Tamandua tetradactyla: one gene and its partners. The protein of the gene in region 3 interacts with the protein of the main gene of each other region in a biochemical or structural test. Links are inferred from orthologs where the notes say so. Each region holds a gene or a part of one and is shown on either strand. Other genes may lie near its edges. The genes, in order: RBBP4, CDK3, RB1 and BRF1.

Region 1 (7,632 bases), on a different chromosome or scaffold from region 3:
TGGAAAAAAACAAACAAAAAAATGTAAACCCATCTTAATAGAGCTAATTATTTGTGATCCTCATCTTAAAAACAAGAAAATGATGTTACATTGAGTAAAATGCAAAAAGAGGTCTGGAGCAATGTCAGACAATGCAGAAAGACTTACCTAGATCTGCAAAAGTAGAAAACTAAGATGACAGTGCACAGGATTTCAGCCTTGGGGAATATAGTCTAGTTCAGTGCTTTCTATATCTGGTTAATCACTACATTACCTGGGAAGTTTTAAAACATGGGTTCCATCTTTTGTTGCTCAGATGTGGCGTCTTCTCTCCAGCCAACACAACAAGCAAACTCACCGCCCTCCCCCTGTCTATGTGGGACATGACTTTCAGGGGTGTGGACCTTCCTGGCAACATGGGACAGAAATCCTAGAATGAGCTGGATTTAGAAAACCTTCTCGACCAACAGGGGGAAGAGCAAAGTGAGACAAAATAAAGTGTCAATGGCTGAGAGATTTCAAACAGAGTCGAGAAGTTATACTGGAGGTTATTCTTACGCATTAAATAGATATCACCTTATTAGTCAAGATGTAATGGAGAAGCTGAAGGAAACTGCCTGAAAATGTAGAGCTGTGTTCCAGTAGCCATGTTTGTTGAAGATGATTGTATAACGATATAGCTTGTACAATGCGACTGTGTGATTGTGAAAACCCTGTGTCTGATGCTCCTTTTATCTACCTTATCAACAGATAAGTGAAACATATGGAACAAAAATAAATGTTAAAATAAATTTAGTAGATTGAAATACTAGTGATCAATAAAATGGAGGGGTAAGGGATATGGTATGTATGAACTTTTTTCTGTTGTCTTTTTATTTCTTTTTCTGAATTGATGCAAATGTTCTAAGAAATGATTATGATGATGAATACGCAACTGTGATATTGCGAATTACTGATTATATACGTAGAACGGAATGGTCATATGTTAAGAATGTTCATGTTTGTTTATTGTTATATATTTTTTTAAATTTAAAAATAAAAAAAGATACATATTATTAAACAAAAAAACGTGTTCCAGATGATTTAGAAGGTCTGGGATGGCTAATATTTGGGACCCACTGGTCTAATAGACATAATTTAGCACATGAGTAAATACGGAATCATCATTCACTTAGGAACTCTGCCACAAGAATCTAAATAGTTTCAACTATCACTAAGAATTTCTGACAGAAACAAATCCATTTATCCTGAACTCACTAAGTAATTCTGATGATAAGCCAAACATGGTTAAATTTCTAAGTATTTATTATGGTTTTAGAAAACATCCTTAGGACAGATTTCCTCATTTGTTCTTCAAGCCACTATGAAAGAAATAGCTTCATTCTTAATGCCTGCTGAGCTGAATCACAGTCTCACAATATTTTGCAATAATCTTGACTTACTAAACCAGAGTTTGAATGAATTTAGATGCTATTTCTTCCTGAAACTTTTTTTCATACTCTTGGGTTGAGGTAAATTTTCCTTTCTCATCATTTCATCAGCACTACTACTCTTATGGTAATTTTAGTTATTTTTACTGTTTATATGCAGGAAATCAATGCAGGGAAATTGATATCTGGTATCCCCTGATATCCGATAGCTACTAAATCCTTAATAAATGTACATTAAGTTAAATATTTAATCTCCTCTATTGCAGATTTAAGCTACTCACTTCCAGGAAAACATGATTAATCTCTATTACCCTCACTATGCCCAACTCCATTCACATGAAAACCATTCCACCTTCACGTTGTTTTCTGCTCTCACCTCCTTTAATTGTAACTGCTCTAACTTTCTAATAACTAATAATTATTAGTTTACGTCTGCCTCTTTGAGTAGTCTGTGTGCTTCTTGAAGGCAGGTACCATGCCATACTCATTTTTTATATTCAACAGTTACTACTGCGAGACTGGGACTGTTAAAGAGTTCAAGCAAGTTCTGCAGAAAGAACTGGACACATACTCCTTTTTGAAGGCTGACAAGTTTTACATTTGGACAACTATAGCTTTAACATGGCTATACACATAATACACACATGTACATAAATCTATAGTTGTAATGTAGCGACTCAATTCAGTATCAGAGGCAGACAATGCCATCAAGTTTTCTCTTGGGTAAGTCACAAAACATTTTCACATTTTGCCAAGTTCTTTGACGTAAGAAAAAAAAAATATCAAGTGACCCGGAGAGAAGAAAATAGGGAAAACAATACGGAAAAAAATCAATGTGAAAAACTTCATGAGGGTCCGCCAAAAGAAAGTTTAAGAGATTCGTATCACCTGGTTACATCTGGAAGCCACTGTGCAGTGAGGCTGGGCCACTCCAGAGCATGGGTCATGACCAAATCATAAAGAAAAGGAGTGTTCTTTTTCCATATTTTGTACTCCTCATTGATCACACGTTCTTCCACTGCGTCATCGAAGGCTGCTAAAGCATTAAAAATAAATGAAGTTAGCAAACACAAACGGAAATCGAACACACTGCTACTTGAGTCGATTCTGAAATGGGGGGAGGAAAAGGGTTGCCCAAAGCCCCTCTAGGCAGTGGCACTAACACTCCTTTACACCTTGGCGGGATGGGGGCCGAAAACTACCCTGGGTTCACCCCAGCCAAACACCCCGTTATCCACTGGGTGTGACGGCTCCCTGGCTCTCGCACGCTCTCCTACGCCGTAATCTACAGTACCAGCGAGGAGGCCCGAACACCGACCCTTGGGGATAGGGAGCCGCGGAATGAGGCCCGGGAGAGAATACACCGATAGGGTGCGCAGAGAGGCTGCCGGGCTGCTCGAGGAGGGACTAAGCACCGCCAGCTTCAGCCGGCTCCGACGGGCAACCCCCTCCTACTGGCGCGCCGTTAGCCCGCTCAGTGGGGAGTTTTCCTCACGCTTTCGACGGTGGGAACCGCATTCTGCAAAACTGGGCCTGCCCTCGCTGTTAGGCCGTGTCGAGGCCGCGGCACAGACATGACTCCCCTCGGCTCTCCTAGGGCGGCCCTGGCACCCTCACCTTCCTTGTCGGCCATGGCGGACAGGCAAGCGAGGGGGTTCGCGGAGTTGAGCGTCGCGGGAGGGGCGGGGAGGCTGGAGGCGCTTGCTCAGCGCGCTCGGCCTCTATTGTTTCCTGCTGCCCCTGCGTGAGGCCCTACTTGCGCACCTTCGCGCCAACATCGGCCAATCGGGGCGTTCCGAACAGTGGAGTGGGCGGGGAGCCACATTCAGAGCCTATCCAGACGCGCAGAGTCGCTTTACGCGAGGCCGAGGCGCGCGCTCCGCCCCTTCCCCTATTCGGCTCTCGCTGACTTCCTTCGATTGCGCGCTCGGAGGGGTTGGTGGGGCTGGCCTCGCCTAGGGTCACGTGACAGAGATTTAGCATTGTACTCCCCTGGGCGCAGCCATTTCCTTCAAGCCAATTAAGCTTGCGACCCCTTCTAAGTACTCAATTGAGAAACCCTGGATACCTTTGGGGGAGGCAGGACGGCTCCTGTCACTCTGACTTAGGTAGTGTCTAATTCAGGTGCCTCCTATTTCCAGAACCTTCAAGTTGTTTGTTTCTTTAATCCTAAAAAAGGACTGATGAATCAAGTGCAGGAAATGAGGACTTGATCATTTAAAAGTGTATTCCAAGCGGCTGGGCCTAAGACGGAAGGCTTAGCGGCTAAACTACATCCGCACGCTACGAAAATGGAGTCCTGGTCCTTTAAAGGTGCGTGCCAGGCGACGAACTCTAGAGCGGAAGTTGTAATGTAGGGCTGAAGTCTGACGGATGAAGGGCGGAAGTAGACTACGCAATGTTCCACTCATGGCGGAGCCGGAGGAAGATGTGAGAGACTACAATTTGACTGAGGATCAGAAGGCAATCAAGGCCAAGTATCCTCCAGTCAATCGGAAGTACGAGTGTAAGTAGGTGACTCTCCTCTCTCTAGATAGGGGCTCACTGGCATCCCCTGGCTTCCGGCCTTGCCTTTCACCCCTCGCCAAAAGTACTTCAGACATGACCTGATTCCTCTGTGTATTGTAGTCTCTTTTGTACCTGTCGGAGTGACGCTAAAGAAAAGAGCCACCTAGTCTGAGATTCGAGAAAATTGGGCTCGCACATTTAGTCTGTTGAACTTTCATGTATAGATACTAATCATGTGTATCTTGTGGATTTTACTAGTGTATTATTTCTAAAGATAACCGTATTTTCTAGTGTTTCGAGGTTGTCGATGTCAGTTATCTCCAACAGTGGGCATGTATCTCCAACACGAGGATAAAGTGTTATCATGTTAGGAATTGAGAAAGCCAAATCAGGAACTTCTCATTTGGTGTTTTATATGGGTCGTGATGCTAATAAAAAGACGTGTTTTTTTATCATTCATTTGCTTAGATTTCAGGCAGATCACATAGCTTGTCTTTGCATCTCAGTTCCATCATAGTGCACATCCTCTACAAACGCTGTTACCATCTCTGAGGAAAATGTAGTTTGGGGAGCACATTTTATTTCCCTGATTAAAATCTTGCCTTGATTTCCCATTGTCCTCTGGATAAGTCTTTTATCATATTTTAATAGTTATATATAGAATTCAACAGGTATGCAGTGAAAAATAAGCCTAGAATAACCATTATTACCATTTTCTCATGTGTATGTGCAAAGATGTCGCAGCATTTACTTTATTTAAAACCAGTTTTCAGTATACAGGATGTTTCTGCTCTTCTGTTACCAGCAGTGCAGCAGTGAATATATTTGGACATCCGTGTTTTGCATATACACAAGTGTATCTGTAGAAAAACTTCCTGCAAGTTGCTTTGTCAAAGGATCTGTGTATTTTTAACTGTAATAGTTATTGCCAAACTGTTCTCCATAGAGGTGTTATAACAGTTAACACTCTCACTAGCAATGTATGAATGTATTTCTTTTCCCACACTTTTGCCACTTTTCGGTGTTATCATACTTTTTGGGTTTTTAAAATTTGTTATGTATCTTGTCATACTATCTACATTTTTCTGATTATAAGTGAGGTTAAGCATCTTTCAGTATGTTTGGGACTATTTGTGGTTCCCTTCTCGGAAGTGTATGTTCATATTCTTAACCCATTTTTGTATTGCATTGATGCTCTTTTATATTTAGAAATTTATTTTTATGTAGGTAAAATTATTAATCTTTTCTTTTTATGGCGTCTGGGGTGTCAATGTAGGAGACCTTACCTAGTCAGAGGTTATAATTCTCTCATGTTTTCTCCTAGTACATGTGAAAATAAAACTTTTATTGAAGTACAGTATGCATATAGAAAAATGTGCATAAATGAATTTTCACAAACTGAATATGCTTGTATAACTAGTGACCTGATTAACAAAATATTATCAGCATCCCAGAAGCCTCATGCTCCCTTCCAGTCACTACCACTCTCACCTGTCATGAGCCTGGCTTCCAACACCATAGATTTGTTTTGCCTGTTATTGTGCTTTGTGTGAATGGACTCACAGTATGTACATTTTTTTTTTTTGCTCAACATTGTATTTGTGAGATTCATATTTTTCTATATTGTTATAGATTGTTCTTATTTCTAATACTTACTGCTTTTTAAAGAAACATTTAAATCATAAATTGATCAGAATTGAGGTAAGGTGGAAAGTGAGTATCCAATTTAATTATTTTCCAGATGACTCACCAGATATTCTAACATCATTTATTCAACAGTTGGTTACCCTGCGATTGAAATGCCACATCTTTATCACATACGGAATTCCCTTACATGTAGTTGGTTGTGTTGCAGAACTTACCGTTCTAATCCTTTATCCTCTCTCTTTTTGTGCCCATGGTTTAATTATTGGGAATTTATGCTATCTTTTAATATCTTGTAGGACAGTTTCTCCCCCAGTACTTGCCCCTTTCTTGCCATTCTTTCTTGTTTATATATAGATAAAAATCAGCTTGTTGAGTTTGAAAAAAAAATTTCTACGGGTATTATTTTTTGTTAATAATAAACTTAGGGAGAATTAAAGCTTTTACTTTGAGTCTTTTTCTCCAGCAATAAGGTATGTCTTTCCATTTGTTCAAATCTTATTCTGTATAACCTCATAGCATTTCATTTTTTTTATTGCTAATGTAAATGACTTTTCTTCCATTATATTATCTCTGTGGTTGTTGATAATATATGTGAAAGCTCTTGAGTTCTATAATTAATTTTTATAATGGCACTTTATGAATTCTCTTATGGTTAGTATAATTTTCAGTTGATTCTCTGGGACAATTGTCTCCAAACTTTTTTCATTGCACATCCTGAATTATGTATATTCTACTATATGGTCATAACCAATGCATTATAAAACATTCAGTAAAAACAGCAATTAGGAATGAGAGAAAAAATAAAGTTTAAAATGTAGTAGTTTAAAATTGTGCAAAAAAACCTTTTTAGTCTCACAAAAATCCCGTTAATATTTTTATATTATGTTTCATGATTATATCTATAGAGATGACCATATATTTACCTGAATTATATGAACAGATTTCCTAAAATTGAATCCTCTTTGCAATCCAGGAATACTAAATCCCACTTAGTTGTGGTGTATTATTACTTTAATGTGCTATTAGATTCTATTGTGAACATTTTTAATAGAATTTTTACACTGATGTAATGTGAGATTAGTCTGTATTTTCTTGCAGCTTCCTTTTTTTGCTATTGACCACCCCTAAATCTACCTCCAAAGTTTCCTTGTAGCCCTGTTGTCCTTTAAGACTCAGATTAGTTGATCTCATGTATTCATTCAGCGCATATTACTGAATACCTATCATTCAGCCTGTATTACTGAGCACCTATCATTCAGTGTGTTACTGAACAGAAATTAGGAAAAAAAGAGCAAAGCAAATATAGATAGTCCTCAGTTTCTTGGCACTTACAGTGTTTAATCTTGTTTCCTTCAGGAATTCTTACCTGAACCCCTTAATCTAGGTTAGGTTTATCTCTTTTTCTCCTATAGTAGTAACAACTCTCAAAGTATGGTTTGTGGGCCCTAGAAATGATGTCAAAACTATTTTCACAATAATACTAAGTTGCTAATTGTTTTTGTCACTGCTTTGATATTTGATACATTGGTGGTGGGAAAACAGTATTAGGTTAAACTTCTGGCACTTTAGCACAATCTGAGGCAGCAAGACCAAAAGTAGTCGTAGTCATTGTATTCTTTACCACCACATACTTGCCATTAAAAAAAAAAGTCATTTTCACTTATGAATGTCTTTGATGAATCAGTAAGAATTACTAATTTTATTAAATCCTGACCCTTCAGTATACATTTTTAAAATAATCTTTTTAATGAAAGCAAAAGTATTACAAAATGTTTCTCCCATATGTGAAGTAAGATGGTTACCTTGAGAAAAAAAACTTATGTAATAAAGTTGTAAGCTGAATTGGCTGCCACGAGTGTTTGGCTGAGATTTTCTTGAAAATAGATAATGTGATCTGTCCTCAAAAAAAAAAACAACTGACGTATTTGTTGCCAGTGATGAAATTCAAGCACTCAAATGAAAATTAGGATTTTGGAAAACTCATGTCTGCTATCCTGAGCTTGTTGGCTTCCCAGTACTTAAAAGACTTTCTGATGAGATTGGTGATAATATTAGCAAAATATGTTTT
Region 2 (7,574 bases), on a different chromosome or scaffold from region 3:
GCTAACATTATAAGATAGCAGACAAGGCCATCTCTCTGTCCCACAGCCTCTAAGTCCAACCCTGAGTGGGAGGACCTGCTGCTCTGGGGTACCCCGGACGGGGTGCTAATAGCCTTGGCCGGAAGCCCATGCTGTCCTGCTGACATAGGGTCAATAGACATCCACGGGAAGCTGGACTCACAGCCCGGAGACAGAAAGACTGCATGGCTTTCCCTAGACCCAACATCAAATTAAAGAGAGAACTAAGTCCTCCAAGCCTATGTGGGCAAGAACTGCTGGCTTTGACCAGTTTGACCTGGGACCAGTCCAAGTGGTTATAAAAGGGACTGCAGGGTGGGGGGATGAGGAATGTGGCAGGCACGCAGGCAACAGGGAACAGCCTGTTGTGAACAGCCTCATGTGAAGACTGCCCAGCATTGACGGTACTACAGGGAATACCAGGAAAGCTTGCCGCTTGGATGGGGTAATAACGGCCACAAGGGGAAAGAAGTAAAAATACAAGGAGTAAAGGGCAAGTCTCAGGGTATAAAAACAAAACTAACTGGAAAAAAAAAAAGCTAACTGGAAAAGAGGAGCTTTATAAGGGCAGATGAACTTTGAACTTATCATGCAGCGTGGCTTCCAGATTAAGAATCAATACGCACAAGGACAGGGACAAGCCAGTTATATAAAGGGTCAGAGAAGAGATTAGTGTGAAGCCACAGCAGGTGCGGGTTATGTAAGAGGTCAGCTGGCCGAGGGGGTCCTCCCGGCTGGGGCAGCAGCCAGGGCTACCCTGGCACCTACCATAAGCAGGTCCTTGCCCTCTGGCTCCAGAGTGGGCACAACCTCCTCCAGCCCCTTCCTGGTCCACTTGGGGAAGCTGCCCTTATAGTCAGGCAGCTGGGTGACTCCTGGCCACGTGGCTTCACTGGGTGTCCCCAGGGTCCGAAAAATACGAAAGAGCTGGTCAATCTCAGAGTCGCCTGGAAACAGTGCTCTGCGGGTTACCTGGACGGGGCCAAGGAGAAAGAGTAGAGCCCCTGCTGGTCGAAGAGACTCTGCTACCAACGAGCAGCCAGAACGAAGGGAGTGACCCTCAAGATATCTTTCCCAGGGCTTTTCCTGGGATGAAGCCCCTTCCTCAGTCTGTTAGCCAGTCTCAAACACCCCTCAACCCACCTCTAATAGGAAAAGCAGCGAGCCCCGGCTCCCAGCAGGCGCACCTGCCTGCACGCGCCTCCCCCCCACACACACCCGCGGCAATGCATTGTCCCTCTTTACCATCTCTGCAAAGATGCAGCCAATGCTCCAGACATCCACAGCTGTCGAATAGAACTTGCTGCCCAGGAGAATCTCGGGGGCACGATACCACAGTGTCACCACCTGAGGGACAAGAAAACAGAGCCGTTCCTGGGTGCCATTCCTCCAGCTGCCCTTCTCTCCCCCTGACCCAGCAGTACCTCGTGGGTATAGGTGCGCAGGGGCACCCCAAAGGCGCGGGCCAGACCAAAGTCAGCCAGCTTGATGGCTCCCAGCTCATTGATGAGCAGATTCTGGGGCTTCAGGTCTCGGTGGATGACCCGATGAGAGTGGCAGAAATTCACCCCCTGCAGCAGCTGGAAGAGGTAGTTCTGGAACAGCAAGCACGGGAAGGAGCCAGCTGAAGAGGCTGGGGGCTGGCTCAGTGGGTTGATACCTCATCTTCCCCAGCCCTGCCTTGGTACCTTGACTAAGTGCAGGGGGAGCTCAGATGCAGGGCTAGAGTCCATGTACTTCTTCAGGTCCTGGCTGAGGAACTCAAACACCAGGTAAAGCTTCTTCTCGCTATGCACCACATCCAGCAGCCTGGCAAGGAGACGCCAGCGATGCAGCAGCTCCTAGCTGGATTCAGGTAGGCTTGGCATTCACTGTTCCAGTTCCCTGCCTCCTCTGCCCACTTACCTGACGATATTGGGATGGTTAAGTTCTTTGAGCAGGGAAATCTCCCTGATGGCGGTGCTGGGGACTCCCTCAGTCTCCCTGCAGGGAAGGAGGGCACAGCTGTGAGCAGGCCTAGAGGCAGGAGCTGAGGGAGCACTTCTGTGTTCCTTATTCCTGTAAGGATGGCCCACCCCCAGCGAATGGGAGCCTGTGTGCCTCGGCACCTACTTACAACCCATCTGAGCCTCAGGGAGCTGGGCCCAGGGGCAAAGCTGGGCCAGAGGGAGGGAGGAGGCAGTGGGTTGGGGTGAGGACACGTTAGGGTTGCATCTCCGTGGCTGCCTGAATAGAACTAGGCAGCACTCACAGAAGGAACTGAGCGCAGCATTCTGAGATGAGGGAATGGACAGGGCTGAGTGGCCCTGGGCTGGGTGTTTCTCGGGGGCCGTGCCAGCACTCACAAATCCAGCCTGATCTTTTTGAGGGCCACGAGCTGCCCGGTCTCCTTGTTCTTGGCCTTATACACCACCCCGTAAGTGCCTTCTCCGATCTTCTCGACCTTCTGGAACACATCCATGGCCACAGAGCTGCCCGGGAAACAGATGGCGCCCGGGGCGTTCGCCCCCCACGCCCAGCCCCGGCTCCCCCCTCCAGCCTCCTCATGGCACCCCTGCTGAGCACCCCCCCCCGGGCTTGCCCAACTCCCCGGGCCTGCGGCCCACAGGGCTTGCCCCGCTCTGCGGTCCCGGTGGCGGCCGTCCAGGCCCAGCTCCCCGCCCCTGGTGTCCCCAGCCCATCCCTGGGCACCTGGCTCGGGGCTGGGGGCTGCCCCTTGCCCAGCCCAGGCAGGAACCCCCTGTGCTCTTGCCCAGTCCCCAGGGGGAACCGGACGCTGCTGCACTGCGCCCTGCTACGGAGTACAGGAGGGCCCAAACTTCTCATGCCCAGGCCCAAGCCCCTGCCCCCCCCCCGCCCCCCGGCCCGGGCCCCGGGGTGGGAAGGCAGCTCGGAAAGGCTGCCCAGGGGCTGGGGATGGCTCGGGTCAGAGGTCAGGGCTTGGAAGGGTGGCTGGAGCCACAGACTAGCCCTAGGCCACACAGTCCGCTGAGGGGGTAGACCCGGCCCGTTTGGTGATGCTTGGTCTTTTCTTAGGGCAGAAGCTTGTTGGGGGCGGCCCCCCAGCATCCCGGGCCCCCCACCCGGGCCCCTGCGCCCCAGCACCCTCCTCTCAGTGCCACCCTCGCCAGCCCAGACGTCACCAGAAACTGCGCACGCAGCAGCCTCACTGCTGACAGACTCCGGCCCCACGGCGCCCCCTCCTGGCCGCTGCCGAAGCATCACCACGTGCACACAAGCCCTGCTCACGCCCTCTGGCGCCTTTATTCACGAGGACCTTCTGGAGTTTTCCATGATGGCCTGGGGCCCCCAGTGCCCCAGAGCTCGGCCTCCAGCAGCCTTGGGGGGGTGGGGCGGAGCGGGCAGACTTCGGGGCCTGCTCTCCAGGATCCCATTTCCGGGACAATAATTATGGAAAGGGGCCAGAAGAACAAGCCCTCCCCTCTACTCTCTGGTCCCAGCAAGGGCTGTCACTCCAGGGAGAGCGTCTCCATCCACCGCAAGGTTATCTCCTGTTGGTTTGGCCCAGGATCCGGTGAGTGTGTGAGGAGGTGCATGGCTGGGAACTGCCATTTCCTATTGGGAGCTGTCCCTTTCTTGTCGGTACAGCCTCTGTTCCTGGATGGCTTGTTCCAACAAGGGTAGATTGATCCCTTCCACACAAGTCAGCAGCCGGGCCTTCACCACGGAACCTCCATCTGAAAGACACAACCGTCGAGGCACTAGCAGTGATGGCCCAGAGTGCCAGTGACACGTGCTCCAGGAGCATTCTAGCCGTCTTCCCTCCATTTACTTAGTCCTGAGTTTTGACAGCGAGGGGTGGAGGCAAGAAGGACGGTATATAGAAGTTAGCAACTTGTCAGAACTGTGACCTGCCACACACTAACAGGCACATGTCTGAAACTTAGTGGGTGGCCTGAAAATCCCATTTAACCTGGGAAGGGATTCCTAGGCTTGAGCCCAGCTTTCTACATCCTTTGTCACCTTCATCTCAGCCACCTTTTCCATAGGCCCCATGTGCCCCTGGTCGAGGAGGGGATGTGCCCCTGGTCGAGGAGGGGTCTCAGTCACTATCCTAGGTCTCCATTTGTACTGAGGTTAGGGCCCCCTTCACACCCTGGGACCCTCTGGCATTGGAAATTAGGGCAAAAGAAAACCCATATTTTAATATATCCAAGGGGCTGAGCTCCAGGAGAGTTTGGCCTCACAGGGGTAAATCACCTCAAGAAGCCCTATCTAGCCCCTCTTCCAGGGCAGGCTGGAAGTCATTCCATTTACACAGGCCTTTCACAGACAGATTGACAGCAGTGTCCAATTGGTCCCTTGCAATAATCAGATTTCTAGAGCTCACTTCCAAGTTTAATTTCCAATGCCAGTAGGTCTTCTAGAAGATGCAGTGGTGACCTGATGGAATATGTCAACATTCAGGTGACATCAGACAGGAAAGATGTTCTAGTTTGCTAGCTGCCGGAATGCAACACACCAGAGACAGATTGGCTTTTAATAAAAGGGGATTTATTTTGTTGGTTCTTCAGAGGAAAGGCAGCTAACTTTCCACTGAGGTTCTTTCTTACGTGGAAGGCACAAGATGGTCTCTGCTGGTCTTCTCTCCAGACCCCTGGGTTCCAACAACTTTCCCTGGGGTGACTTCTTTCTGCATCTCCAAGGCCTGGGCTGAGCTGCAAGTGCTGAGATGAGGAACGCCGAGCTGTTTAGGCTATGCTACATTGCGTTCTCTCATTTAAGCACCAGCCAATTAAGTCAAACGTCACTCATTGCAGCAGACACGCCTCCTAGCCGACTGCAGATGTAATTGGCAACAGATGAGGTTCATGTACCGTTGGCTTATGTCTGCAGCAACAAGATTAGGTATGCTCACCTGGCCAAGTTGACAACTGAATCTAACACAAAAGACATCTGGATTCACCCTCGAATACTTTTTCTTTCATTCATGCTTTCTCTATTCTCTCAGCACGTCAAGAAGTACACTCGATGTCCTAGGACATTACCCTGTCTATTCTGATGTAGCTTTGTGATAGAGGCTTTCTGATGCGATAAAGTCTAAACCTAGTCTTTTTCGTCTAGGCCATCTTATCAATTTAATGTAGCCTGGGTGCAGATTCTAAACATCAGACTGTTAAGCCTTAATACAGGGCTCCTCTTGGAAGATGGAACTTGTCTGAACCACGAAGTAGCTTGGGTGTCACCAAGCTTCTGTTATTAGCACCAGGCTGCAGTGACGACCCAGAGAGGATGAGCGTGACAACCTTCTGCAGCCACTGATCAGTGCAGACGGTGGATTCTTAGTGCTCAGCCCCCTTTAGGAAACCAATAAAGCAGGACGTCTGCCAAATCTTCAGCTGGTCCTGATAGACCTAAACCTTATCTTGCCACCTAAGTACTCAGAGTAGTCACAGATGTTCAGGGCAGCACAGGGAGAGCAAGGACAAAATCAAGGAGCTCTAAACCCCAACTGGAGCTGCTGAAAACTCAAAAATGGGGGGGAAACATCAAATTTGCAAACTTCCGATATAAAGACTTTCTTAACTGTCTGGCTCAATTTCACAGAAGTTTCCTTACATGATGCCTTTCTTCTCAGCCTGGGGAAACCCTTACCACTAGATTTTTATTGTAGAACATGTTGCTTCTCCCTGTGAATGGAAAAAGCTATTAAATATGGAAATGAGCTTTTTGAAATATGATTATTGCAAAGGACAAATCACAATACTGCTGGTCCATCTGCGGAAGGCCCCTGTAAATGGAATAAAAAGAACTGTGTTTGAAGAAGGGCTGCAGGGAAAGGGGAAAGTTTTTGAACATGACAGCTAGGAAAAGTGAATGGGAACTGGTCATTTGGGAGAATTTCTTCTTGCAAAGATAAAGAAGCCAGAGCTGAGAAAGGATCATAGGTTACAAAGGCCAGCCCAGGACTGCTGAGTGAGGGATGAGTGAGAGATAAGGAAAGGGAGATAATGGAGAACAAGTTTGACTGTGAAGGGAAGGAGGAGCCTAGTTAGGGAAGGGTGCAGAGTGAAAGGTGATTATCATTTTAAGTCAGAGGAGGCTCAAGCACATTATATGCTGAAAGAAAAGAACCAGTGCAGACAAGTTAAGTGTACAGTTGAGGGTGGAATATGGGAACTCTATATTTCATACATGATTTTTCTGTAAACCTATAACTTCTGTGATAAAAAACAAGAGAGAACACAGCCCCTGCAGGAGGGCAGTCTGGGGGTCCGAAGGAATGGATGGGCGTTTGGTGGGGTGGGGTGGGGGGAGGCTAATGATGAGTGAGGGGCATATGATCTTAGGAGGAGGGACTGCTCCTGGAGCCTCCATTTTACATAGGAAGTAGGTGGGTCATCTGCCGAAAGGGATGGGGGAAGCTAGGTAGTAAGAGGTCCTATCTGATGGCGGAGGGGTGGGTAGCATGGGAGAGGGGCTTGACTAAGATGCCTGGAGGGACTTCCAGGCAATGTGGAGGGTTCCCAAGAAATGAGAGACACTGAAATCATTGTGCTGCAAATTCACCGAGTTCTGTGGTCCTTCTTCACTCAATAATCCGGGGCAGGATCAGAGAAGTGGGGAGGTTGGGAGCTAATCAGTGTGATGGAAGGAGGGCAAGAGGTTGCACTTTCTGCCAGAAAGGGGAGGAACTGAAGGGGAGAGAGAAGTTGGGAGAAAAGTCCAGGAATCCAGAGGCCTGGTGCGGCTGAAAAGGAGGCAGCAGGAGGACGTGCAGGGACAGGAAGGTACCAAGAGGTGAGGGAAGCCTACGCCCCACGCCTCCATCCAGAACATTAAGTTCTCAAGCCCTTGGGTGTCACAAGAAAATACAGGAATGCTGTAGCATCGGGTGGCAAAGGTGGGGTAGTTCTAGGGAAGACAAGGTCCTAGGTGAGGCCCCAGTGCGAGAGGCAAAGTGAGGCAAAGGTGCCTGCTGGTAGAACTGGCTTCCACCGGGGATGGGAAAGGTGTGCGGTGACAAACCACAGGAGCCACAGGGATCCAGGCACTCCCTCTGGGTTTGGTGGCCTGAGCAGGACTGCCTGAGGAAGGTGGTAGTGGGGAAACTGCCATCCTGGGGAAAAGCCAGGTTTCAGTCAAATCCCGAAGAAGGTGAGAGCATAAGAAAGAGGCTTGAGGAAAGGCAGACAGAGGGTGGAATGGGGAGATGAGGTTCGATGGAAGAAAACCAAAGGGTGGTGGGATTTATGGACGGCCACTTGCTGTGGCCGGTGACCTCCAAGTATACAGCAAGGAGGTCTGATGGAGAGGTGAGGGAAGCCTACACCCCATGCCTCCATCCAGAGCATCAAGTTCTCAAGCCCTTGGGTGTCACAAGAAAATACGGGAATCCAGGGCAAGGGGACTGTTCTAGTTTGCTAGCTGCTGGAATGTAATATACCAGAAACGGAATGGCTTTTAACAAGGGGAATTTAATGAGTTGCTAGTTTACAGTTCTAAGGCCGAGAATTAAAACAATTAAAACAAGTCTATAGATATGTCCAATCAAAGGCACCCAGGGAAAGATACCTTGGTTCAAGAAGGCCAAT
Region 3 (7,599 bases):
TATTTCAAAGAATTTTAAGAAAATCCTTACCAATACTCCATCCACAGATGCCATTTTCTCCCAAGTTAACCAAGCTCTTTCTCTGACATGATCTGGTATCTTTAATTTCTGACACAAAGCAACAAAATCAGGTTCTTCAGTTTCTTCAAACTCAAGCCTACCAAATGAAAAAGTATATATAATAGGCAAACACTTATAAGTCAAAATGATATAGTAAACATTTGTTTCAAAGGTTTGCACATAATAGCACTATCCTGAAAGACAGCATTACTAAGTACTTTAAGATATTAATTTCATCTTTGAAAAAATTATGCTTTAAATTTAAACATATTTATCTTTCATTGTCTTTCCAAACAACGAAAAATGTGTGCTGACACAGTGAACCTATTATACTTCAGAGCAGTAAAATAGGTTTGTGAAGGAAAGTAAGGATAATAGCTAAAGTTATTTGGGAAAATAAGGTAATGACAAAAGCAAGAAGAGATAAGCCTACAGATGACATTACAGAATCAATTCGATGCCAATGCCTTCATTAACATAAGGCCCATACTTATCAATGTTTCACATACCTCTATCTTGTAGCATTTCTTACTTGTGATTAATAATACACTTTTTTCAACCCTTATTCCTTGATCTTCCTTAACCAAGATAAGCATTATCAAGGCTAACTCCTTTTCATTAACTTAATAAACATATTTTTATTTTATTTTAGTTTTTAATAATCATATTTGCAAGTGGAATAGCTAATAATTTTTGAGTATTTACTACAACCCTGCACAAAACACCTTACATTCTGGTTTCACTGAATTCCCACGTCAGCCATATTAAGTAAGTACTCTTACTCTTATTACCCTTGTCTTACAGATGAGTAAGCCAAATCAGAGAAGTTAAAACACTCACCTAAGGTTTCTGCCAGTAAGGGAGGATTATGAACCTAGCAGTCTAACTCCACAATCCATGTTGCAGACCACTATTCTACACCGCCAAGTCTTCCTTCAAAACATAATTAACTTTTAGTTATCTCAACAATGAAGGTGGCGTGCTGTTCCTAGAGACAGATTCCCTTCCAACCACATCACTTAAGCCAGAGATGATGCAACAGAAACATGAACTCAACTCTTTCTCAAGGCAGAAATGGACGTTTGTTATTGGAAATGCAGGTGGAACTGGGCCCTGAATTCATCCCAAATCAAGTTTCTCAGCCTCGGACTGCCTGGCAGTGGTCATAATCTTGCTAAGTAGTTAATGTACAGCTTTTGATTACCCATGAAAATGGATAAGAGCAGATATATCACGTATCGTTTTGAAATAAAAGGGTTTGACAGGAGAATTTTGTGCTTCCATTACTTGAAGATAAATAAAAAATGTGTTAAAAAAGGAGGGGGGAGGGGGGAAATGAAAGAAATAGTCCTTCTTTTCTCAGGTGATAACGCAAACTTCAAATATTTCTGGTTACCCTATGATAATTCTTTAGAGAAGCTATTTACTGTTCTTCCCAAAAGGAAATTTTCAAGTATTGTACACATCAGAGTTAATTAGAAACTGGTAATTTATCTCTCAGAACATCCCCCAAGACCTGTTCTTTTTTCCTGGAGGGTATGATTTTTTACTTGACCCATAAGACAGTGGGTCACTGTCTTAGATAAGCATTATCAAGGCTATTCAATAAAAGAATTTTTTATCATCTTCAACAGGCCATTTCCAAAAGCCGTTCTCAATCTTTCACAGTTTGGCATGACTGTGTTGGTAGCAAGAGAATGGAAAGAAACCTACAATTAAGCGTGGGTAACACGGGACCTGGTGATGGACAAGAATGGAGGAGGGAGTGGTGAGAGAGAGAAAGGAGTCCGATCCTTCTGCAATGAATCTGCAGTCTCAAAGCAGGACCAGCGCTGATAGAAAGGAATAAGGACAAGTACATACTATTCAAATTTAACTACTTACCAATGTAACACAATCAAGAAAAATAGGATGCTGCAATACAAATAAATATCTCCTTCATATATATATATAGACTTCCTTGGATTTAGACCCTACTAATTCCGGGTGGGAGAGTTCCATGTGCACACAGCACATCACCAGTTTTGTCCCAAAAAATAAACAAAAAAAGCAAGCAAAAACAAACAAAAACAACCAAAAGAAGCAGACGCCGCCCGGAGCCTTGTTTCCGAAATGGCAAAAAAAAAAAAAAAAAGGCAAAATGGAAGACAGAACGAGGTATGTGGAAGCAGACTAACGTTCAAAAAGAATTTTATCCCGAAAGAGAAAAAAGAAAAAGTTCAGAAACTTTTCAGCACTTGCGCTCAATGGCTCAGAAAGATTTTGCCACCTCTAAAGAGTTCCGCGCTGCCAGTCTCTACTGACGCCTCCGAACCCCAAACAAGAACCTCGTCCAAAAACGTCTCGGCAGCGTCCGCGGCTTTTGCCGCCTCTCCTAGAATGCAATGCACACCCGGAGGAAAATGCTTGGAACCAGCATCGCAGGGGCCAAAACAGAAAGTCCAACTACCGCCCGGGTGCAGCGTCTTTCAAGGGGAGGAAAAACCGCTTCCTTTCCCGCTGACGCCGCCGGGTCGTCGTCCCGCCCGTGAGGGGCTCCCAAAACCCCGCCATCTCCCCGCCCTGCAGAAGGGAAGCCGGCACCTGTCAGTTCGCTCAGGGACCCGAGCCCCACCCACCGGACACCTGTCAACCTGGAGCCGACACTCTTCCTGGCGACTCCGCCCGCGCCCCCCGAACCCGCTCCCCTGGCCGCGTCTTTCCGACACTCCGCGGTGGCCACAGGGGCGCGGAGAGCTAGCCTTCTCCCGCGGGACGGGGGCTCCCCGCGAGGACGCCGCGGCGCCTGCCCGGGTGCTGGCGGCGGCGGCGACTCGGCTCGCTCACCGGGCCACAGGCAGCTCCTCGGGGCCGCTGTCCTGCTCGGGGACCTCCTCAGGAGGGGGCGGCAGCGGCGCCGGGGGTTCCACAGCGGCGGCGGCGACAGCCGCTCTTCGGGGGGTTTTGGGAGGCATGACGCCCTCCTGGGGCGGGAGCCAGCGAGCAGTGGAGGACGGCAGGGCAGGGGGCCGCGCGCACACGTCGGGGTACGCCCCGTCCGCGCTCGGCTCTCGTGGCAAAATGATTTGGGCGTCCCCCGAGAAACGCCGGCCGAGCGCTCCCCCGCCCGGCACCCGAACCCCGCGTCCAACCGCGGGAAAACGTCACTTCCGCCCGCGGCGTCACGTCCGCGAGTCGCTCGGGCCCGTCGGCGTCTCGCGGGGCCCCGGGCGCCCAGCGTCGGGCGGGGGCGAGCGCGAGCGGGGCGGGGCGCGAACGCTGGTGGGGTGGGCCGCGAGTCCCGGCCTGTGGAGGCGCTGCCCAGGGGCGGTCGCCGCCGCGGCACCCTGGTTCTTGCCCTTACCTGCCCTTTCCAGGCTGGGGATGCCCGGAGTAGGGCGTTGAAGAAAGCCTGGGGGGTGAGATTGGGCCCCCAACTCTTATCTGCGAGCCGGATCGGCGTCCACGCGCGAGTGCGCGGTGTTATCAGGCTTCTGCACCCTTTGGCCTCGGAACCAGGTCCCGCCTGCCCAGTCTGTTAGCAGGGTGGGTCAAAAGAAGAACTCCTGTTCTGTTCCACAGATACTTACAGAACACTAATCACTAGAGGATATGAAATGTAGGACAGTTAGAGGCTTTGGGGGAAATCCCTGGATAGTGTAGGCAGAGGGTCTGTGGGTAAAGAACAAGTAAACAGGATAGTGTGATAAATGTCTTAATAGTGGCATAAAAATAGGAGGGTCTATCCACATATCTGCGAGATCTTCAGAGGGAAATGGCAGTTGAATAAAATTTGCCGAACACACTACTGTATGTTTCTCGCTTTCACTTTCTCTCTCTATAGATAAACCTTCTTTTTAATGAGGGCTTGCTGTGTGCCAGTAACGTTGCTAGCCACTTTCCATGATAATCTTATTTAATCCTCAGAGGCAACCCTTCAAAATCAGTAGTAGTATTACTCCACTTTCCAGATGGGAAACCAGGCTCAGAGGAGCTCATTAATGTGCCAGGTGGCACATAGCTGATGGATGGCGAAAGATTTGAACCCAAGTATATTCACCCACTTATCCATTAGGTGATGCTAATGAAGAAAACACCAAGAAGAAAGAAATGATGTGTGCAAAGGCATCAAGACCTCAGAAAGTTTGTTGTGGCTACGGCTCCCAAACATTGGCTTGAAAACTGCATGGTTTGTGTTTCTTGGTGTTTATTTATAACAATGCGTTTTCTAGTTGAAGTACATGTTTTTCTCAATCTTGCAGATGCTGTTGATTGCCTAGCTCAAAACTACCCATTGGAGGTGCTGTGAATGATGTTCAATTGTGCTCCACTGTAAATCCCCTCATCCTTGGAACAGCTGAACAGTATCTGAAGCAGCCTACATTTTCAGATAGTTCCTGGCAGAAAGCTTCATACATTTATCCAGTGTGCCATACCAAGGATTATCATTTTCTATGTATATCATGTGTGATGGTTAGGTTCATGTGTCAACTTGGCCAAGTGATGGTGCCCTGTCTGGTCAGGCAAGCACTGGCCTAACTGTTACTTACTGTAAGGACATTTTGTGGCTGGTTAATAAACCTGAGGCAGGTTTATTAAATCATCAATCAGTTAATTGCATCTATACCTGGTTATTTCTACTATCAACTAAGGGGAGTGTCTTCCATAATGAGAGAAGCCAATCAGTTGAAGACCTAAGGGAGAGGTGATGATTTCAGCAGTCAGAGGAGAGAATTTTTATCTCTACATCACCCAGCCAGCCAGCTTCTCCTTTGGAATTCATTGAACCCCTTCATTGTTGTTGCCAGCCCACAGCCTGCCCTACAGAATTTGGACTCTTGCATTCCCATAGTTGCATGAAACACTTTTATAAAATTTCATATGCACAGATATCTCCTATTGGTTCAGTTTCCCTAGAGAGCCCTAACACATCATTATATACGGCAGAATGTGAAAAAGATTAGCAAGTATTGGCCTACCCAACAGCCAGTCCCACCTAACTTTAGAAACCTGTCTTAGGAGGCCAGAGCTTATCAGGAGAAAGGATCCAGGCCCAGCCACAGCCCTAGAGAGTGAATCTTATTACAATGGTAAACCCCATTCACCTTGGCTGGGATTGGTTTAGACAGGAGCTGTTTTAGTTTCCTAGGCTGCCCAAGCAAATACTATGAAATGGTTCTCATTAAACAATGGAAATTTACTAACTCATAGGTTTGAAGCTAAAAGAAAGTTCAAATCAAGACATCAAGGTGATGCTTTTCCCCTGAAAACTGGTGGTCTGGGGCTGGCTGCTGGCAATCTTTGGACCTTAGTTTGTCACCATGGCAAGACATGGCAGCATCTCCTGGTCTCTTCTCTCTCTTCTGAGTTCCCTTGATTTCAGCCTCTGGCTGCTTTCTTTCTGGCTTTCTCTGTGTGTGTCTGAATTCCACTCCACTTATAAAGGCCTCTATATTAGAATTAAGACCCATCCTGATTGAGATGGGCTACACCTTAACTGAACTCAACTTATCAGAAAGTCCTATTTACAATGGATTAAATTTAAGAACATGTTTTTCTGGGTAATACAGCTTCAAGCCACCATAGAAGCTCAGGATGTAGTTTTTGGCCTTTGGATGATGAAGGATAGTTTGTTGGGAGGCTGATTAAATGAAATACAGGGATGACATTTCTTCCTCTACCTCTTAACTCTTGTCATGAGGATATGACACTGGAAACTGCAGCAGCCACTGTGACCTGAGGCAAGCAGACCAGAGAATAAGGCAGAAATGCTGAGGATGGTGCAGTAGGATTATCAAAAGAATCTGGAGCCTTGGTGGCATAAGTGAACCTCTGATTTGACCAACCCTGGAGCCGCCATAGACTGAGCTGGAAATTTCCGTAATTTGCAGAAAGTATCATGACTGACAATACTTCTCCTATGATCCCCTTCAGGATGGAGTCCAAATCTTGGGCATCTTTGGAGCCCTAGTCCCTAACTCAGTGTTGGGCAGTAGAGAGGGTAGGAGAGGTGAGGAATGTTCTGGAAACTGAAGTAAGCTCTCTTTATATAACTTGCTTTATTTAAACCCAGTTTATCAACATCTGAATTTACCACAATTAGGATAAAGAGACATTTCTCGATTTACAAAAAGATGTGTATCTTTACCACGGATTCCTTTCACTGTGTTCTCTTGTACTTTTTAAGTGTATTTTCCTTACACACAATGCAGGAGCAATTAAGTAAATCAAAATCATCACATCTCCCCCGCAGTTTTTTGTTGCATTACCGAATAAGTGTTAGATGTTCTTAGTTTCTTAAAATATGTTTTCTCTGATCTTCCCTCACCTCCAGAGTAACTTTAAGAATAGTGTCGCCAGACCAAAAAACAATCATTCATAGACTTGCCATCTGTAGAGAGAACTACAGATGCCTCTTCCATGATACCTCTTCCATGATGCCTCTTCCATGATACCAGAATACTTTTTGTTTTTTTTGAGTCTCCTGTAATCTAAAATTTCTTCAGATTTTTTTGCATCCCCAAGCTATCAGGGTATTTCCATTTCTTTAGCTTCTTGAAAGGGTAGTCCCCATTTGTTCTCTCTGTTTTCTCATTCCTCAGCTCACTATAATCTGGCTTTCTCCCACTGCCACCACCAGCTCTCCACTGAAATCACTCTTTCAGGGGCCACCAATGTCCTAAGAGATCACTCAATGGCTTTTTTTTTTTTTTTGCTTATATCTTTTTATTTTTTTAATGTTTAAATTTTATTGTGTTAACATCTATACCACATAAAAATTCCCATTTCACCGCTTTCACGCATATAATTCAATAGCACAAATTATATTCAGGTTGTGCTATGATCATCACCATCCATTATCAAAACCGTTTCATCACCCCAAAGAGAAACTCTGTGCTCTTTAAGCAATAACTCCCAATTCCCACTGCCCTGGTAACCTCTAATCTTCTTTCTGTCTCTGATTTTTTTTTCAATTCTAAATATTTCATGTAAGTGGAATCATAGAATAGTTGTTTTTTTGTGTGCCTGACATAACTTAGCATGATGTTTTCAACATTCATCCATGTTGTAGCATGTATCAACCCTTCATTCCTTTTTATGGATAAATAATATTCCATTGTATGGAAATGCTACATTTTGTCTATCCATTCATCTATTGATGAACGTGGGTCATTCTGCCTTTTAGCTATTTTGAATGATGTGTCTAAGAACATCGATGTACATGTATCTGAGTCCACGTTTTCAATTCTTTTTACTATATACCTATAAATTGGAGCATTGGATCTTGTAATTCTAGTTTTAATTTTTCTGAAGAACTGTCTGTTTTCCCAATGGCTTCTTTTTTGGTTCTTAACTTGTTTGAACCTTCTTATGTTTAACAGTCAACCACCTCTTCTTTCTTAAAAATTCCCTTGTCTTCCAAAAGTCCCTTGTCTTCTTGTTCTTTTCCCACCTTCTGTTACTTCATAAACTCCTTCCCCAGTTCTCCTTCTGCCAGTCTCTTAAATATCACTGTTCTCTAGAGTGGTGCTACTCAAAATGTGGTCCTTGAATCTGTGC
Region 4 (7,792 bases), on a different chromosome or scaffold from region 3:
AATGCTAGTGGTAAAGGAAAGTGAGGGGTAAGGGGTATGGTATGTATAATCTTTTTTTTCTCTGTTATCGTTTTATTTCTTTTTCTAAATCGATGCAAATGTTCTAAGAGATGATGAATATGCAACTATGTGATGATATTAAGAATTACTGATTGTATATGTAGAATGGAATGATATCTTAATGTTTTGTTTGTTGTTAATTTCTTTTTTTAATTAATAAAAAAAAAAAAAAAATGTGGGAGCCGGGACCTAGCATCATGGGATTGAGAAGGCTTGCTTGACCAAAAGGGCAAAGAGATAAATGAGACAAAATAAAGTTTCAGTGGCTGAGAAATTTCAAACACATTCAAGAGGTTATCCTGGAAGTTATTCTTATGCATTATATGGATATCCCTTTTTAGCTTATGGTATTATAGGAGGGGCTAGAAGGATGTCCCTAAAACGGTTACACTGTATTCCAGTAGCCTTGATTCTTGAAGATGATTGTATAACTATATAGATTTTACAATATAAACATGTGATTGTGAAAACCTTCTGTCTGATGCTTTTAGCCAGGGTATAAACAGATAAGTAAAAGCAAAAATAAATAAATAACAGAGGAGGATAAGGGGTCAAAAATATTGGGTAGATTCAAATACTAATGGTCAATGAAAGGGAAGGGTAAGGGATATGGGATGTTATGAGTTTTTTCCTTTTACTGCTTTTTTCTGGAGTGATGCACATGTTCTAAAAATGATCATGGTGATGAATGCACAACTACGTGATGGCACTGTGAGCCACTGATGTATACTTTGGATGGACTATATGTATGAAGATAACTCAATAAAAACATATTTTTTTAAAAATGTGGGAAAGATTAAGTTATTTCCTGATAAACAAAAGCTGAGGGAGTTCGCCACCACTAGATCAGCCTAGGAGAGATGCTAAAGGGAATTCGGTAGGTTGAAAGGAAAGGACAACAGACAACAGATCAAAGCTGCGTGAAGAAATAAAGATCTGTGAGGGTAGTGAAAAGAGTAAAATATAAATGCCAGTACAACTGTATTCTTGGCTTCCACTTTTCACTTCCTACAGGATGAGAAAGACAAATGCACAAATGTAATGAGAAATCAGTGGTTTGAGACTCATAATGTAAAGACATGTAATTTATAGCAAGAACTCCATATACGGGGGAGAACCAGAGGAGTACAGAAACAGTTTGTGTGTAACACTGAAGTTAAGCTGTAATCAAAGCAAACAAGAATGTTACAGATCTAGGAAGTTAAATTTAGCCTTAAGGTAATTTCCAAGAAAATATCAAAGAATGTGCAAGCTCTGTACATAAATAAAGGCAGGAATTAGAGTACAGGTTGGCAGGGGTGGGGGGCTAAATGTATGACAGGTATGGGTCCTGCCATATTACCCAGCAGCCCACTCCTGGGTAGCCACTCTCGAGAAATGAAACTTACGCTAACCTGGAAAGCTATACACAGTCATTTAGGACAGCTCTGCTCATAATCACCTAAAACCAGCAACAATCCCAAATCTCCTTGGGTAGGTTGCTAGCCGAACAGCAGACCATCTGTTCCAAGGTGTTAGGGTTAGGTTCACGTGTTACCTTGGCCAAGTGATGGAGTCTAATCATCTGGTCAAGCAAGCACTGGCCTGACCGCTACTGTGAGGACATTTCATGAACTTAACTCTCTATAGCTGATATATCCACAGTCAACTGAGGAGCGCGCCTTCAACAATGAGAGACATCCATTCAATCAGTTTGAGGCTTTAAAAGAAGTGATGATTTCAGCACTAAGAACAGAGACTGCATCTCTACTTCAATCAGCAACCTCCTCCTGGGGAATTCATTGGAAACCTTTGGAGTTCTCAGCTTGCTGCCTGCCCTAGGGAATTCGGACTTACCTTAGAGCAACTAGAATAGATCTCATGTTTACATAATATATATCTATTTATCTGTCCGTTCTGCTTCCCTAGAAAACCCTAACAAAACCACATAGGACACTGCTCAGCAATATAAAAGATGGAACGGTTGATACATGCAACAACCTGGATGAATTTAAAGCCATTAGGCTGGCTGAAAGTAGCCAACTCCAAAAGGTTACATACTGTCTGGTTCCACTTCCTTGACTTTCCTGAAAAGATAAAACTATATGGCTGGAGAACAGATCAGTAGTTGCTTGGGCTAGGAGTGGAGGAATCTGAAACAATAAAAGGATCTCACAAGTTAGATTTTCCAACTGATGGAACTTTTCTTTAAACTCATTGCGGTTATCTGAATCTCTGACGGCATTAAATTCATAGAACTGTACTGTAAAATACATGCAATTTTACTGTTGTTAGTTTGGGGTGGGGTGGGGGGTGTCCACTGTGTCCAGACCACAGCCAGAGTCCTCTTGCTTTCTCCTCTTCTTGTAAATTCAATTTAAAAAATCAAAGTTATACAAGCACAGTTTAAAGAGCCAACCAGTTCTATAAAGCTCGTGACAGCCCGGCAGCCCCGCACCCCCGCACCCAGCGCCCCCTCCACTCCCCCTTCCGAGAAGCAACCGCGTACGACCCAGCAGCCTCGGCGTCTGCCTCAGTTTCTCCCAGAGACCCGGCCGTCGCCGTTCTCGGCCTCTTGCGGAGGGAGGGTCGCCACCACAGCCGCCGCGGCGCCTCAGGCTGACCGCCAGCCCTCCCTCGACGTAGCAGGCCGCCCCGACCCTGCGGGGCCTCCCCGCGCGGCGCCGCGCGCTCTTCCTCCCGCCAAACCTGCCCTGGAGTCCGCCGGTGCCCGACACCTGTACGGCCTGCGCCGTGAGCGCCAGACCCAGAGCTTGGGATTGCACCTACTGGCGCCCGCCCGCGGGGCAAGGGGCGTCGCGGGGCGCCGCGCCCGGAACCCACCGTCCAGCGACACGAACTGGCCCACGGCCGAGGAGCCGCCGCCGCTGTTCTCCACGAACTGCACCTCAGACACGATGATGTTGTCCTCGAGCACGGAGCCGCAGCTGGTGCACACGGCGTCGCCGCGCGCCGCATCCAACTCGATGTCCGTGCCGCCGCAGCCGCGGCACACGCGGCCCGCCATGCCGGCGGGGACCCGAGCGCCACCCGCCAGCCCCGCGCCCCCGCTCTCGCGAGGCCCGCGCCGCAAGCGCCGATTCGCAGCGGCAGATTCGCCGCGCCGCCAGGAGCCAGCAAACGGCCGGAGCCGCGCGACGCAAGCCAAGCCGGAGCTCGGGCGCGAGGCGAGTGTCGGCGTCCTGCACACCCGGGCGCGGCCGCAGGGCCTCGGGGCCACCGACCAGCAGAGCCGCAACTGGCCTGCAGGATATCGAGCCGAGGGAGGCGGTTGGCCCGGACCGGCCTGACAGCTGGAGGGGCGGGGCCTGCGGGGGGCGAGGTCGGTGGGGCGGGGCCTATCGGGACGCGCCTGATAGGACACGCACCCAGTGCTTGGGCAGGGCCTGGAGCGGAGTCGGCTGGGCGGGGCTGACGGGGGTGGGCCTTAGGGAAAGAGCCTGGGGGGCGGGGCCTGGGGAGCAGAATTGGAAGTGGAAATCCCATTCTCCAAACAGCAACAGACTTTTACAAAGAATGGTGAAGGATGGCTCCTAAATGCCTCTGAAAGAGATTATCTGCAAGAATAATCAAGCTCTAAAAGAAGAAACTCAATTAAGGGAGACGTCCTTCTGCATTTCAGAAAATCCTATCAAACTATGGCACTTAAAACCAGGTGGTATTTAGTTTCCTAAGGAACCGCCAAACCGTCTTCTATAGTGGCTGATCGATTACACATTCCCACTAGTACTACGAAAGTGTCCCAATTTCTCCACATCCTCACCAACATTTGTAGTTTCTTGTTTCCTGCATAGCAGCCATTATTATAGGTGTGAGATGGTATCTCATTATAGTCTTGATCTGCATTTTCCTTATAGCTAATGAAAATAAGCATTTCTTCCTGTGCTTTTGAGCCATCTGTATTTGCTCTTCCGAAAAATGCCTATACATATCTTTAGTCCATTTTATAATTGGGTTTTTCTTTTGTTGTAGAGTTGTAAGATTTCTTTATGTATACAGGATATCAAACCTTTGTCAGACGTGATTTCCAAATGTTTTCTCCCATTGAGTTGGCTGCCTCTTCACCTTTTTGACAGTCTTTTGAGATGCAGAAGCATCTGATTTTGAGGAGTTCCCATTTACCTATTTTTTCTTTTGTTGCTTGTGCTTTGTGTGTAAAATGTAGGAAGCTACCTCCTATTAGGAGGTTTTGAAGATGTTTCCCTACATTTTCTTCTAGAAGCTTTATGGTGCTAGTTCTTATATTCAGATGTTTGATCCACTTTGAGTTAATTTTTGTATAGGTATAAGGTAAGGGTCCTCTTTTATTCTTTTGGCTATTGATAACCAGTTCTTCCACTCCCATCTATGGAAAAGACTGTTTTGTCCCAGTTCAGTGGATTGGGGGGCCTTGTCAAAAATCAGTTGACCATTGATTTGATTGTCTATTTCTGCACTCTCGATTCAATTCCATTGATCAATACTTCAATCTTTGTGCCAGTACCATGCAGTTCTGACCACTGTGACTTTATAATAAGTTTTAAAGTCACTTAGTATTAATCCTCCCACTTTGTTCTTCCTTTTTAGGGTACTTTTAGCTTTTTCCCATCCAGATGAATTTGGTAACTAGCTTTTCCAAGTCTTAATTATATTTAATCTTCCTATCCATGAGCAGAGAATGTCTTTCCACCTATTTAGAACTTTTTAAATTTCTTTTAGCAATGTTCTGTAGTTTTCTATATACAAGTCCTTTATTTCTCTAGTTAAGTTCATTCCCAAGTACTCGATTTTTTTAGTTGCTATTTTGAGTGGAATTTTTCCTTAACTGACCCCTCAGTTAGGTCATTGCTTATGTATAGAAACGTTATTGATTTTTGCACATTAATTTTATATCCCGCCACCTTGCTGAATTTGTTTATTAGCTCGTCACTTTGTTGTAGATTTCCCAAGTGTAGTATCATGTCATCCGTAAATAATGAAAGTTTTACACTTCCTTCCAATTTGAATGCCTTGTATTTCTTTGTCCTGCCTGACTGCTCTAGCTAGAACTTCTAGTACAACATTGAATAATAGTGGTGACAGAGGGCATCCTTGTCTTCTTCCTGATCTTAAGGGGAAAGCTTTCAGTCTCTCTCCATTGAGTACAATGCTGGCTATCTGTCTTTAATATATGCTCTTTATCATATTGAGGAAGTTACCTTTGATTCCTATCTTGTGAAGTGTTTTTATCAGAAAAGGATGTTGAATTTTGTCAAGTGCATTTTCAGCATCAATTGAGATGATCGTGTGATTTTTCCCTTTCGATTTGTTAATGTGCTGTATTACGTTAATTGATTGGTATTAGTTCATTTTAGAATGTTTGATGAAATTCCCCTTAAATGAGTCCACTTAAATGATTCCACTTTGCAATATGTGAGTCTATATACCTGTAGAGGAAGAAAACTGACAATTTAAATGTTTCTTTAAAAAATCAGAATACATTGGGCACTATGTTGCACCACTACTGTATCTTTTTGAAAGAATTAACATTATTTTCTTATCGTAAAAGTTAATTCTGATGACATTTTCACATTTGCCAGACTGCATTTTTTCCTGTATTATTTGCATCCCCATATATTTAATACAAATAGATTTTGCATGGCTTGGGCATTCAGAGACTAATAGAATAATGACTCAATTTTCATTTCTAAAGCCATGAACAGTTCTGAGACTGAACAATTCTGAATTCCTATTTATAACGATACTTAGTGTCCGTGTTTTCCTACTGTAAGGAATTGATGAGTTTCTTTAAAACAGCAAGAACATATTGAATCTTGTAAATACTAAGTCTCTCTTAGATTTCTGTGTACACTGTGAATGAAATTATTTTGAGATGAAATTGTACAAAGACATTTTAAAAGGCTAAGCATGCATCATACCGCCAAACAGTACATATTTAGAGTCAAAGATTCCTGCAAAATAAATAATAAACTAAAAGCAAAAAAAAAAAAAATTCCCCTGTGAAGCCATCTGGCCATAATTGCTGTGCTGTGCTGTGCTTTGAAATTTATTGCTTTTTTGTATATATGTTATTTTTCACAAAAAAGAAAAAAAAGTTTATTGTGATGATAAAAAAAAAATTATTCCTTGTAGCCTCCTATATTCTGGAGGAGCTTGAAGGAAAAATCTTGAGAGGATTGTATGGTAGCCCATGACAAACTCTGGGATCTGTCCTGTAACCACTTGTTGAAGAATGCTTTGAAACTATTGCTTTTTTCTTTCTTTGCTTTGTATATACGTTATATTTGACAATAACAAAAATGAAGAAAAACGACAGGTGATATTTATAGAGGGGCATACAAATATACAAGTGAAGTAAAACCAAGAGTCCAAACAAACCCGAGTAAACATGCAAACCAGCTCCCCAGGCACGCTTTCCATTTCCAGGGCGAAAGTGTCAGTTGAATTCCTGCCTCACACTGTTTCAGAAACAAACGCCAACTCACATTAAAAGCTACAGCTAAAATTACGGGAGTATTAACATCATATATGCTGGCACCTGAACCCCTTCCTAGTGGGGCAGCCTCCAAGCCCCCAGCAGGCCAAGGCCGGGTACTGAAGTCCCAGCCACCTTCGCTGCACGATGCAGGCGAGGGAACCAGTGAAACAGTCACATGATGCTTCCACGGGCGCAAAAGCATGCGTGCCACACGAGAGGCTAATGCCAGAAGAATGTCTCTGCTTGGAAAAGTCTGAACTAGTGGCTTGCCTCCTCCTCCTCCTTCTTCTTCAAAGATTTTAACTCCATGAGTTTACTTATTAGGCTTTTCTTTTTCTTTTTTTTTTTTAATCAGGTGCATGGTCCTGGAAGGCTTTTCTTCTTTAAGAAAATATTTCAAGCATACCAAAAAGCAGAGAGAAAACAGAAAAGTACCCAAGGAAACAGCACTGAGATACATCAAAGTTCAGCATTGTCACATATATGCTATTTAGCTCAGCTCATTTAAATAAACTGTCTCTGGTGACCATTAAGGACACAAAGCCCAACAACCCAACTGTCCATCAACAAATGAATGGGTGAGCAAAGCGTGCAACATATACACAATGAAGTACTATTCAGCCAGAAGAAAGAATGAAGTTTTGAGGCCTGCAGCAACATAGAAGGACTATGAAAACTTCATGCTCAGTGAAATATGCAAGACACAAAAGGAAATATCTTGCATGATGCCACTGATAAGAGATGACTAGAAATAGCGAATTTACAGAGATAGAAGTTGGTATTTACCGGGGGATCATAGGAGAGAAGAGGGAGTGTATGCTGGGAAAAAGTAAAACAAAAAGAACACAGAGTATGCATCTTCCAAGATTCCATTGCTCCCTGACCAGAGAAAACCACCAGGCTGTACTGGACAGTCATCAGTGCCATGGAACTGTTAATATTTTATGACTATCTGTGTCTCCATAAACAATGTATACTATTGGTTTGCAAGATTTTAGGTTTTACAGAAATGATCATATACGTAACCTTCCACAACTTACTTTTTTCCCCTCATTAATGTCTCAGAGATTTATTTATTTAATACATTATCTTTCCCTGCTGTGCAGTCTTGTTGGGAGGGGAGCTCCAGGGTTTCTCTCTGGTTTTGCAGAGGCCTGAAGGAAAAGCCTGTCCTTAGCCCTCCAGGAGGCAGGCTGTGCTGCAGGAATGTGTCATCCCAACAGGCCAGCCCCCAAAGTGAGGTAAACAGAGAAGGCTCTGAACTGGACAAGTGTC

What was found.
Region 1: the proteins of RB1 (region 3) and RBBP4 form a complex in vitro, tested with the Homo sapiens proteins (2 studies listed by BioGRID). The link is inferred for Tamandua tetradactyla from reciprocal best matches to the Homo sapiens genes RB1 and RBBP4.
Region 2: of the proteins of RB1 (region 3) and CDK3, one has a biochemical effect on the other in vitro, tested with the Homo sapiens proteins (2 studies listed by BioGRID). The link is inferred for Tamandua tetradactyla from reciprocal best matches to the Homo sapiens genes RB1 and CDK3.
Region 4: the proteins of RB1 (region 3) and BRF1 form a complex in vitro, tested with the Homo sapiens proteins (2 studies listed by BioGRID). The link is inferred for Tamandua tetradactyla from reciprocal best matches to the Homo sapiens genes RB1 and BRF1.

What each region holds. Positions count from the first base shown.
Region 1 is NC_135328.1:193,217,379-193,225,010, forward strand, and holds the start of RBBP4 (histone-binding protein RBBP4), read right to left. Parts: upstream 3,177-7,632; 5' UTR 3,043-3,176; coding exon 3,027-3,042; intron 2,446-3,026; coding exon 2,298-2,445; intron 1-2,297. Other genes in the region: ZBTB8OS (protein archease), read left to right, coding at 3,783-3,915. UniProt on the Homo sapiens protein: Core histone-binding subunit that may target chromatin assembly factors, chromatin remodeling factors and histone deacetylases to their histone substrates in a manner that is regulated by nucleosomal DNA.
Region 2 is NC_135332.1:16,404,528-16,412,101, reverse strand, and holds the start of CDK3 (cyclin-dependent kinase 3), read right to left. Parts: upstream 3,248-7,574; 5' UTR 3,162-3,247; intron 2,490-3,161; 5' UTR 2,480-2,489; coding exon 2,364-2,479; intron 2,002-2,363; coding exon 1,924-2,001; intron 1,828-1,923; coding exon 1,707-1,827; intron 1,614-1,706; coding exon 1,443-1,613; intron 1,366-1,442; coding exon 1,264-1,365; intron 991-1,263; coding exon 787-990; intron 1-786. UniProt on the Homo sapiens protein: Serine/threonine-protein kinase that plays a critical role in the control of the eukaryotic cell cycle; involved in G0-G1 and G1-S cell cycle transitions. Interacts with CCNC/cyclin-C during interphase. Phosphorylates histone H1, ATF1, RB1 and CABLES1.
Region 3 is NC_135330.1:109,981,548-109,989,146, forward strand, and holds the start of RB1 (retinoblastoma-associated protein), read right to left. Parts: upstream 3,202-7,599; 5' UTR 3,015-3,201; coding exon 2,887-3,014; intron 2,622-2,886; exon of another isoform or gene 1,945-2,621; intron 158-1,944; coding exon 31-157; intron 1-30. UniProt on the Homo sapiens protein: Tumor suppressor that is a key regulator of the G1/S transition of the cell cycle. The hypophosphorylated form binds transcription regulators of the E2F family, preventing transcription of E2F-responsive genes.
Region 4 is NC_135340.1:87,366,830-87,374,621, reverse strand, and holds the start of BRF1 (transcription factor IIIB 90 kDa subunit), read right to left. Parts: upstream 3,070-7,792; 5' UTR 3,068-3,069; coding exon 2,884-3,067; intron 1-2,883.